Oryctolagus cuniculus: one gene and its partners. The protein of the gene in region 1 purifies or fractionates together with the protein of each later gene. This does not show direct contact. Links are inferred from orthologs where the notes say so. Each region holds a gene or a part of one and is shown on either strand. Other genes may lie near its edges. The genes, in order: SIKE1, STRN4 and STRIP2.

Region 1 (3,745 bases):
GCGGCGCCAGCACACCGGGTTCTAGTCCCGGTTGGGGCACCAGATTCTGTCCCGGTTGCCCTCTTCCAGGCCAGCTCTCTGCTGTGGCCTGGGAGTACAGTGGAGGATGGCCCAAGTGCTTGGGCCCTGCACCCCATGGGAGACCAGGAGAAGCACCTGGCTCCTGCCATCAGATCGGCGGCCATTGGAGGGTGAACCAATGGCAAAGGAAGACCTTTCTCTCTGTCTCTCTCTCTTACTGTCCACTCTGCCTGTCAAAAAAAAAAAAAAAAAAAAGATGTAAAATTTCTGAAGAGGAACAACTATTGGAACACTTGCAAATCAATATAACAACACATGAGTCATTGCTATTCTGGTTAGTTTATTTCCAATTTTCTAACTGAATTAACAGCCACAACAAATTGACGGGACAAGCAGAAAATAATGATGACTCCACCTTACACCGCTTAGGGTGACTATTTCCAACAATAATGCTAATAATTAGCGTCAACAAGGAAGTGGAGAAATCGGAACCCTTGTACACTGTGGAAGTGTAATGTGGTGCAACCTCTGTGAAGAACAATACAATGATTTCTCAAAGAATTCTAAGTTGGATTAACAGATGAGTCAGCAATTCCAAACATATAGATCCACAGATGTAAATAAATCCATGTCTCCAAAAGAGCTTTAAGAAGGACCTCAGCGAGATACTTGCAACAGAATCATTCACAACAGTCAAAAGGTAGAAGCAACCTAGGTGTTTATTGTCAGATGAATGGATAACAAAATGTGGTATATACACACTTGCATAGAGGAGCATCATTCAGCCTTTAAAAAGAAGGAAATGTAGACACATTACAATACTCACATGGATTAACCATATAGCACTGTGTTCTATGTGAAATAAGCAATCGCACACACACACACAAAATGCCATATGAGTTCACTTATATGTGGTGCTTAGTCAAATTCATAGACAGAAAATAGAAAGGTGGTTTGCAGGGGCTGGGGGTGGGGAGAGGCCGGAAATGAACAGGGTACACCCTAAATCCTTTATACCTCTTTTTTTTTTAAGGCCAAATGCAGCCAACTCTTACCCAATCCTATGATTCTAATAGTGGGTGAAAGGTGATAACAGAAACAAGAAAAGGCATTTGTTTTGCTTTTTTTTTTCTGCTACCAGATATCTTTATTTAAGTGATTGTTTATTTAATTTCAATCAAGGACCCTAATACTGAATGGTAATAATTTTCCTTAAAGGGTACAGCGTTTCAGTCTCACAAAATGAAGAGTTCCAGAGATGGATGCTGGGATGCTTGAACACTGGAAATGTACTTAATACTACTGAACTGTACACGAAAAACGATCCCGATGGCACATCGTAATGTGTGTTTTACTACAGTTTTGTTAACAGTTACATGGAAAAAGAAAAAGCCAGGCACGACAGAAAAACAGTCGACATCAATCAAAACCAACAGGGAGAGGAGTTCAGGCTCATCCCGCTACTGCTGAGCTGGACCACCCGGCTGTGGGAACGGGAAAGCAAGGGCGTGGCAAGGGCGTGGCAAGGGCACGCCTCGGGCTCCGCGCCGGGCGGGGCTGCAGGGAAGCCGCAGGTTACTGCAGGTCACCCGGCGGACCGGGCGGCCACTGCGCAGGCGCTTCTCGACGTACCGGAAGTGACGCTTGTGTCGCGGAGACAGGTTCAAGGGAGAGCTGAGCAAATAGCGTAGGTGAACTGGCCGGGATTTGGGTCCGGCAGCCGCTATGAGCTGCACCATCGAGAAGATTCTGACGGACGCCAAGACGCTGCTAGAGAGGCTGCGGGAGCACGATGCGGCCGCCGAGTCGCTGGTGGATCAGTCGGCGGCGCTGCACCGGCGAGTGGCTGCTATGCGGGAGGCGGGGACAGCGCTTCCGGACCAGGTCAGGCGGAGGGTAGCGGACCAGGGCCCTGGGGTTCTGGGCGCTTGAGGAGTGGAGAGCGAGGTGACGGGGGACCTCGGCCCGCAGTTTATCCCTGGTCTCAGGGCGGCAGGAAGACCTTTCTGCAGGGTAGGGGCTGGTGATCCTGCCCTGGCGCTCTGACTCCTGCCTCTTCAGCTGCGTCTGCCCCAGTTCTGTTTACAGTGCGCTTAGGCTGTCTCTGTTTGTGCAGTATCAAGAGGATGCATCCGATGTGAAGGATATGTCCAAATACAAACCCCACATTCTGCTGTCCCAAGAAAACACACAGATTAGAGACTTACAGCAGGAAAACAGAGGTGAGTCAGGCCTTTGTGTGGTTAGGATTGTTTCACGTCTGGGAGTGGCGAAACTACCCTAAATGTATTTTCAGGTCAGTACTTTTACTAGGAAAGTTACCGTGTGCTGGCCCAGTAAGAAGCTTGTTAGATTACCCGTTCCAAGGTTTGTTTTTATAAGCAGCTTATCAAAGAGACGCTTGCTTGAATTGAATTATTGCATGGCTTTTTTAGGTACCCCCAGATGGAGGCTTGCATGACGACACTGTATATCCTTAAGGGCTTAAAGTTGAATGTTTAGATATTAACGTAATGAACCCTGATGTTAAGTTCGAAGGTTTTGTATATGTTCTTACACATGATGGAAGAGTGGAATTCTATCCTCAGAATATATATTTGCATTCTTAGGTTGATGAGTGCATTATTAACGACGTTAATAGTACTAGTTGTACAGCGCTTTACAGGGGGCTTTCGTATATGTTATTACCCTGTAGTCTCCTGTCTTCATTTTGAGGTAGGCAAGCCAGGTATTTATACAGTGCCTTTAAGAAACAGGCTCAGAGAAGTTAAATGAGTTACTTATGAGTGGTAAGCAAGTAAGGCACAGAACTGAACTCAAGCCGGTGTTTTTCTGATTACACACCCCCATGTTGTTTCTGCCAAACTGCTGCCTCTACCTAGAAAGTTATTTTTCATGTAGACTTTAGCTGTTCAGTTTGCTACAACTTTGGGTTCACAGTATCATGGAGTGTCATCGAATTCCACCTATCAATAGTTAGCCTTTGGGATCTGTCTCACAGCCTTCACTGTTCAGTTATTTTGTTTTGTATCTGTTTGGTAGAGCTCTGGGTTTCCCTGGAAGAACACCAGGATGCTTTGGAACTCATCATGAGCAAGTACCGGAAACAGATGCTACAGTTAATGGTCGCTAAAAAGGCAGTGGATGCTGAACCGGTCCTGAAAGCTCACCAGTCTCACTCTGCAGTAAGAAACTTGGATGCTAAATTCTAAATGAACTGAATGAAAATCTTGAGATTGTTTTAGATCATGTCCATTTTTTTAAAAAATAAAAGGCAGGTTTATTACATTCAGTGTTTATTTGCTGTGGCTTTGTAAAGCTGTGAATAGAAGGGCATGAGTGGCTCCTGAGATCCTTTAATTTGAGTGGGGCTAACGTCCCTCCATCCTTCGCTAAGATCTGTTTTTAAGATGTTAATGAATGCTTAGCTTTTCCAGCAATTTCAGGTAGTGCTGAAGGTGGTGCCCACAGTGGCAGAGTGGGTAAAGCGGCCGCCTGCAGTGCAGCATCCCATATGGGTACTGGTTTGGGTGCCGGCTACTCCACTTCCAATTCAGCTCCCTGAGCAGTAGAGGATGGCCCAAGTGCTTGAGCCCCTGCACCCACATGGGAGACCCAGAAGAATTTCCTGGCTTCTGGCTTTGGATCAGTGCAGCTCTGATCATTGAAGTTCATGGAGAGTACATATTATTTAAAAAACTGAATGAATTTCAAAACTGCACCA
Region 2 (3,645 bases), on another chromosome or scaffold:
CCTCGCCCGCCCGGCGCTCTCCCCTTCCTCTTTCTGGGCACAGTCCCCGCCCCACTCAACAACCCTCCACAGAGGCTGGCTCCTGGGAGACCACCCTTGCCTCTGAAGGGGTCAAGGGTCAACAAGGCTTTCCTGAGGGGTAACAGTGAGCAGGCTCAATGCGATGGGGAGGGCAGGCCTGGCGCCACGGCACAGCAGGCTAAGCCAGCGGAGCTGCTCTGCCTCGGGTCAGCTCCCTGCTCGTGGACTGGGAAAGCGGCGGAGGACGGCCCCAGTGCTTGGGCCCTGCACCCACGTGGGGGACCCGGATGGAGTCCCAGGCTCCTGGCTGCGGCCTGGCCATCTGGGGAGTGAACCAGCGGATGCAGGGTCTCTCCCTCCGTCTGTTAACTCTGCCTTTCAAATAAGTACATCTTTTAAAAGAAAAAGATACAGGAGGCAGCACGGGCAAGCCCAGCACCTAGGAGCCAGGATGGCTGGGACACAGAGAGCAAGGGTCCAGGTGGCGGGAGGCAGGACCAGAGAGGTCAGCAGCAGCCAGAAATGCGAGCCACGCCCAGCCTCTGCTTCTCCTCATTGCTCTCGGCCATGGCAAGCAGGCTGCTCTGACCGCCGCCTGAGAGGCTGCGACTGGGGCAAGGTGGCGGCGGCTGCAGGCGGACAGCTCCAGAGGCCACGCCGTCTCGGGAGGGGCAGGCAGGAGAGCAGGCACAGGTTCACGGGGCGGGCTGGGGGAGGTCTGGGAGCCAATCAACAGGCCTCCGTGGGCGAGTCCTACGGACTGCCCGTGCCCTGATGGCGAGGCGAGCAGACTGCCACGTGGGCTTCAGCGCCCTGCCCAAGCTGGGCTCAGTCCACCCGAGGCGCCGGGGCCGTCACGGCCACCAGTCCTTCAGAGCCCGGGTCCACGGGCAGAGCGAGGAGCTCCGCCCAGCCTCGCGGCTGTACCCCCCAGCAGCACCCCTGACCCAGCACTCTGTGCCACACCAGGGACATCCAGGGGCCCGCTCGAGGAGGACTCCAGGCTTGGACGCTGCCCCAGAGGGCCCTCCCCCAGCCCCACTCACCCCACACTGGCCTGGCCCACCTGCACCCTCCTCCATCCCAGATCACTGCGGAAGGGAGGAGCCGGCACCACGAGGAAGTCGCAGGCCCCCGAAGCTGCTGGGCCACGGGCCACGGGCCACAGGCCACAGGCCACGGGGTCCCTCCCATCTGCCTGGCTCCCCTCTGTCACCAGGTGAACAGGAGCTGGGCGACCTCGCCATGTCCTCAGACACAGAGGACTGAGCCTGGGCCTGGCACGGGACACCCCAGGGACTTACGTCACAGCTGAGATCGTTGTCGTTGGTGACGGTGAGATCCGCCAAGTCCCCCAGGCTCACCTCCCCGCCCCCGATAGTGTCCATGATGAAGACGTCTGAGGAGAAGCCAAAGGAACCTGGTAGCGGGAGGGGCGGGGCGGAGAGGGCCAGGGCGAGAGAGAGACAGAGAGAGGCAGAGAGAGATAAGGGGCCAGCAAGAGAGGCAGGGAGGGCACAAGACCAAGAATCACAGCTGGAAAGGAAGAGACAGAGAGACAGACAGACAGACAGTTGGGGCAGGACAGACAAAAAGAGGGAGACAGAGACAGACAGACCAACTTTTGGGACAGGGAGGCTGCAGACTGGAGGCTGGGCCTCACCCTGAGGACACGGGAGCCCTGGGCTTAGCTCTGCAGCCTCCCTCTGCCGTGGGCCCCAGGGGACGGGGCAAGGCTCGGGGCAGGGGCTCTTACCTTCATGAGGCCGGGGCTGGGGCGTGCCAGGAGGGGGGCCTGTCACTTTGGGGGGCAGCCCGTCCACATCCCGAAGGTCAGCCAGGATCCCCTGGAGTTTGACCCGACGGCTTTCTGCAGGGATGAGGCAGGGGGCAGGAGTCTCCCACCAGTTCCCCGGCTTGGCACAGGAGCCGCCCCCACCCCGCGCCTCCCTGCAACCGTAGGGGGTGGTGCTGAAGTGCTGGCCCCAGGTCGGGAAGGGCAGAGGAAACAAAGGCCAGCTGGGACCTTCAGGGGGGGAGGAGGCCCCCAGCTACCATCCCATGTCACCCCCGAGGGTCTCCAGGCAGGCCAGGGGTCACAGGACAGAGGGAGCCACGGCCCGGCCCCACCAGCCGCTCATCCTGCTCTCCCCTCGAGCCGGGCTACAACTAGACGCCTGCCGTGGCCCACGGGGTTTTCCCAGCCAGCCCCACGGCTCCCGCCCGCTCTCCTTGGCCCTCTCCTCTAAGGAAGCGTATCCGTCCGGTGGAGACCTGGGACAGGAAGCAGCTGTAGGTGGCTGCGTGTGGACGAGGCAGGCAGGCGTGGAAGGTGAGCAGAGGCCAGCCAGGAAGTCGCCCACTCACCCAGCTCATGGGGGTTTCCGTCTGCAGCACAGCGCCGAGGGTCTGGGGCCCCCTCCCCATCCTCGCCTGAGCCCAGGAAGTCAAACTCATTGATGGCATCCTCAGAGTCGTCCTCCTCGTCTTCATCCTCTATCTCGGGCGCCAGCGCCTTGGATGGGAGCTGCGGCACGGTAAAACCAGCTGGTCAGGGGCTCGGACGAAGACCAAGCCCACCAGGTGCAGGGAACACACAGCTGGGCTCCTGCCTCCTGCCTCCCCGCCAGCTCTGACCGCGGTGCGCCCCCTGCTGGCAGGTTTCAGCAGCGGCCTCCCACCCACCGGCGGGCACACAGCGCTGCCCTCCACCGCGGGCTCCTCCTGGCTTTGCCGAGGGTACTCCCGCTCCAGATCCAACGCGCCCACCGAGTGCACAGCCTCATCACAAGCTGAGGGCAGCCGCTGTGGTGACCGCGATTACCCTCCCCGTACTACAGGTGAGGACGGAGCAGCTGCCCGCCCCAGGCCATTAGGTGCAACCTGGGCCCCCAGCCTCGGCAGCCTCGGACTCCAGGGAGCCGCTGACACTCCCCGCAGTCAGCCCCACAAGCTGGGGACTCGGGGGCGACACCCCGTGGGCGTCTGTGAGGGGACCTGAGGGGCGGGACATGGGGTGACCTAGGGCCCAGGACCAATCAGCTTGCCCGGAAAGGCAGTGGCTGGTGTCGGCGGGCATCAGGGCGGCACAGAAGCCGGAGCCACCACAGCTGCTCCGTGGGGTGTGTCCAACCACGTCCCCAGCAGCGCCTGGGACCAGGACCAAGTGCCTCGTGCAGCCGCTAACACCTGCCCCCCCGGGGGTGCAGGGGGCCTGCTCCACACGGGCTCCAGTCCATCACCCCCTCGCCAATCCAGAGTCAGGGCCCCTTCGTCACCCGGGCCGAGTCAGGAAGGGAAGCGGAGACAGAGAAGCCTGGGTCCAAGTCCCACCCGTGGGGGGCGGGGGGTCTTTGGGTCTGTCCAGGCTCCTAGCCAGGCCTTCCTCACTGCCTCCCACAGTCTACTGCACGGAGACAGAGGGCACGTGGAGGCAGAGACCCCCACGGGGAGGAGCCGGCCCACGGGGCACGTGGGACACGCACGGTGACCGACACCAGGGCTAAGGCCATCGAGAGAGGAGCAGGGTGGGAGACGTCTCCCAGAGGAGGCGACGTACAAGCCAAACTTCCAAGAGGGGGCATGGGGTCAGGTGACTAAGCAGACCCCAGGCCACAGACCCCC
Region 3 (3,645 bases), on another chromosome or scaffold:
AAGTTAGGGAAGAAAGACAGTAAACAAATAGGCAACCCAAAGACTATCAGTTAATGCTAAGTACAATGAATGCAATGTAAATAGGACGACACGATAGCATCTGTAGACTACCTTAGGTTGGGCACTCAAAGTAGGTAGACCTCTGAGAAGGTGACTTTTCAGCACGATCTGAAATGTGAGAAGAAGCCAGACGTAGGAACACCGGAAGAAAGAGCCTTCCAAGCAGAGGGAACAGCAGGGAGCAGCGGGAACAGAGGGGAGCGCAAGGACAGAGTGTCTGGAGAACTGAGCTGAGGGGTGGGGTTGTGGAGGCAGAGTCAAAGACGTCACCTGAGACTTTACACAGGACCTGTAAGCAAAAGTGGGGAAGCTCAGAATTGGTTCCTGGCACACGGGAAAGCCTTTTGGGTTTTAAGCAGGGAAGCAACATGATCTGATTTATGCTTTTATTATTATTTAAAAAGTTTAATTATTTGAGATAAAGAGAGAAATATAACTCCCATCTGCTGGTTCAAGCTCCATGGCCTATAGTGGCCAGGGCCAGGCCAGGGCTGAGGCTGGGAGCCTGGAACTTAATCCACATCTCCCATGTGGGTGACAGGAATCCAAATACTGAGTTATCACTGCTGCCTCCCAGGATCTGTGTTAGCAGGAAGCTGGATCAAGAGCCAGAACCAAGAATCCGACTCAGGTTCTCTGATGTGGGATGCAGATATCTTGAGCAATGTCTTACTCACTAGGCTAAACTCCTACTCCAATTTATGTTTTTCAAAACTATTGGCTCAGGGGCCGGTGCTGTGGCATAGGGGGTTAAGCCACCACTTCCAGTGCCACCATCCTATATGGGTGCCTGTTTGAGTCCCAACTGCTCCAGTTCCCATCCAGCTCCCTACTAATGCACCTGGAAAAATCAGCAGAGGATGGCCCAAGTGCTTGGCTCCCTACACCCACTTGGGAGGCCTAGATGAAGCTTCTAGCTCCTGGATTTGGTCTGGCCCAGCTCCAGCTGTTGCTACCATTTGGGGTAGCTGATGGAAGACTTCTGTCTCTGTGTCTCCACCTCTCCTTCTCTTTAACTCCACTTTTAAAATAAATAAATAAATCTTTAGAAAACAAAAGAACAACAAAAACAAAAACCCATTGGCTGCCACGTAAAGATAGGACCAGAAAAGAGTAGAAGCAGGGAGACCAGATAGGCAGCTCTTAAAATGGTCCAGGTGAGAGATGATGGTGACCAGCACTGGGGAAGTATTTATGAACATGGAGAAAAGTGAGTGAACTTGGGCTATATTTTAGAGATCTAGCTGACAGGACTTGAAGTTCAATTGGATGTAGACAGGCAGAGAGAGGAATCCAGAGTAAGTACCCTTTGCCAAGATGGGGAGGAATATTAAGAGTTCTGTTTTCATCATACTAAGCTTTAGACGCCTGTTAGCTATCCAAGAGACACTGCCAGGCAATCAAATATATAGGTCTGGAGTCCTAGGGAGGAGGCTGTTTCTAGAAATAAATTTGAGAGTCACTGACTTACAGACCATGTGAATAGCCCTAGAACCAGCTGCGGTGACTCAAGGAAGGAGCAGAGACAGAGAAGAGCATGGAACCCTTGACAAAGCCCTGGGACAAGCCAATGTGTTGAGAGTGGGGTGAGTTAGAAAAGGAGCCAGAAACGAAGAGTAAGAAAAACACAAAGTGGGAGCAAACCCAGGAGACGGCGGCATAAACACTAGGTGTTTCAGTGCAGGCGTTTGGCATAGCTATAAGATGCCAGTTGGCTCAGTACCCAACCCTGCTCCTGATTCCAGCTTCCTGCCACTGTGCACCCTGGGAGGCAGCAGCCTTGGCTCAAGTCCTCGGCCATTCACACAGGAGACCCAGATTGAGTTCTGGGCTCCTAGCTCCGGGCTTCAGTCTGTATTAGCCCTGCCTCTTACAGGCATTTGGGAGTGAACCAGTGAGTGGAAGCTCTATCTCTCTGTCTCTTTGTGTACCTATATCTCTGCCTCTCAGATAAATAAGTAAAACTGAGGGGAAAAATGGCCACAGACAGTTGTGCATGGGGGGACTCGTCAGAAAAAGAAAGTGCTGTTGTTGGGGCTAATGGAAAGAAGAAGCTAGTTTGCTTCCACCTAAAAGCTTCCCTGCAAATACTCCTCCTGTCCCTCTGGGTTATAAGTCACCCTTATGAGCCTTCATTGTTGAGCCACCTACCTCTTCTTCCTGGATTACAGAGCGTTCTATAGCTCTTGGCTCCCCAGGTGGACACCGTGGAAAGTACCTCTGTGTGCAGCGTCTGTTCCAGTATCCCAGGCATACCTGTGGCCTACTTGAGCCCATGTGTGTCCAGGGTGGTCCTTCTGGCCTGTGTGTCTGTCCAGCCAAGCAGTCTTCTGACCCAGCTCTTGGGAGGAAGTTGTGACTCCTGAAAGAAATTCTGGACTCACGCCAGGGAGTGGAAAAACCGGAATCATACATTGTGAGACCCAGAAGAGCCAAGAAAGGCCATGCTGACCAGCCTGCTGATCCTACTGAAGAAGAAATTAGGACTTGGAGAGGAAGGTGACCTTTCCAAGGTCGTACAGTGAGCCATCAACAGCTCTAGGGGGAGAACCTAGGTCTGACTCGGCCCCCGTGCTCTCTGCACGCCACCCCTCACGACCTGGCCTATGCAAACCGTGTGTTTCTGCCACAGGGGGAAGAGGTGGTTCCAGAGACGCCGTGTGAAATCCTCTACCAGGGCATGCTGTACAGCCTCCCCCAGTACATGGTAAGGAGCCAGCTGGGCCACCGCAGCCCTTCTCCACTGCCAGGAGCACACAGCCGGGAGCCGTGTCAAGCTGGCTGTCCGCCCTTTGAGCTTTTCCCTGAGATTTCGCCCCTCGGCAAGGCATTCTGAGCTTTCCCCAGGGCCCCTCTGAAGGAGCTGTTCTCCCTCCTCTTTCTTTGGGAGGGGTGGACGACAAGGTGAGCCTTGTAAGGGCTGAGTTGGGGGCCCTCCTCCTAGGTAAGTGCAGAGTCCTCTGAGATCTGCCAGGGCCGCCAAGGCCTACATAGCCTCACGCTGAAAGTGGGGGCAGTGCTGCCAGTCAGGGTGGTGGGAGGAGTTGAGCTTATCCCTCCCTGTTTTTGTGCAACCTCCCCTTTGGATAGAGCAGTCTTGAAGCAGAGCAGCCTGTCAACTCCCTGTGGCTCCCTCCCTAGCCTAACAGGCAGGCCTCTCAGGACTGGGCACCTGTTTGCCCTTCTGGGTGCTGGGGAGATTTGATCCCCAAGGGAAGAACATAGGGAAAGGCTTGAAAACGCTTCCCATGGGGCTGGTGAGGTGGGGAGAACCACCGCCTCCTCTTCCGCTTCCCAGATCGCTCTGCTTAAGATTCTGCTGGCCGCAGCCCCCACCTCCAAGGCTAAGACAGACTCTATCAACATCCTGGCAGACGTCCTGCCCGAGGAGATGCCGTGAGTGCTTCCACCGGGCACTAGCTGTCTTGTCTGTCCCCGCCCCTCCTTGTGAACGCTCACGGGATCGTCCCCAGCGAGATCTCCCACTCCCCGGCAGGCCTCTCTGCTGTGCTCTTTTTAGCTGAGGACGGAGGGCCTGGAGGGCGACCTCCGTGCCAGTGACTGGCAGCCCAGGGATGTGGGTGG

What was found.
Region 2: the proteins of SIKE1 (region 1) and STRN4 purify together in Homo sapiens (affinity purification with mass spectrometry; 3 studies listed by BioGRID and IntAct, with this or other methods). This does not show direct contact. The link is inferred for Oryctolagus cuniculus from reciprocal best matches to the Homo sapiens genes SIKE1 and STRN4.
Region 3: the proteins of SIKE1 (region 1) and STRIP2 purify together in Homo sapiens (affinity purification with mass spectrometry; 3 studies listed by BioGRID and IntAct, with this or other methods). This does not show direct contact. The link is inferred for Oryctolagus cuniculus from reciprocal best matches to the Homo sapiens genes SIKE1 and STRIP2.

What each region holds. Positions count from the first base shown.
Region 1 is NC_091438.1:55,562,660-55,566,404, forward strand, and holds the start of SIKE1 (suppressor of IKBKE 1), read left to right. Parts: upstream 1-1,138; 5' UTR 1,139-1,746; coding exon 1,747-1,905; intron 1,906-2,137; coding exon 2,138-2,243; intron 2,244-3,063; coding exon 3,064-3,206; intron 3,207-3,745.
Region 2 is NC_091449.1:10,658,029-10,661,673, reverse strand, and holds part of STRN4 (striatin-4), read right to left. Parts: intron 2,549-3,645; coding exon 2,389-2,548; intron 1,892-2,388; coding exon 1,778-1,891; intron 1,442-1,777; coding exon 1,326-1,441; intron 1-1,325. UniProt on the Homo sapiens protein: Calmodulin-binding scaffolding protein which is the center of the striatin-interacting phosphatase and kinase (STRIPAK) complexes.
Region 3 is NC_091434.1:165,658,180-165,661,824, forward strand, and holds part of STRIP2 (striatin-interacting protein 2), read left to right. Parts: intron 1-2,692; coding exon 2,693-2,767; intron 2,768-3,358; coding exon 3,359-3,456; intron 3,457-3,645. UniProt on the Homo sapiens protein: Plays a role in the regulation of cell morphology and cytoskeletal organization. Required in the control of cell shape. Calmodulin-binding scaffolding protein which is the center of the striatin-interacting phosphatase and kinase (STRIPAK) complexes.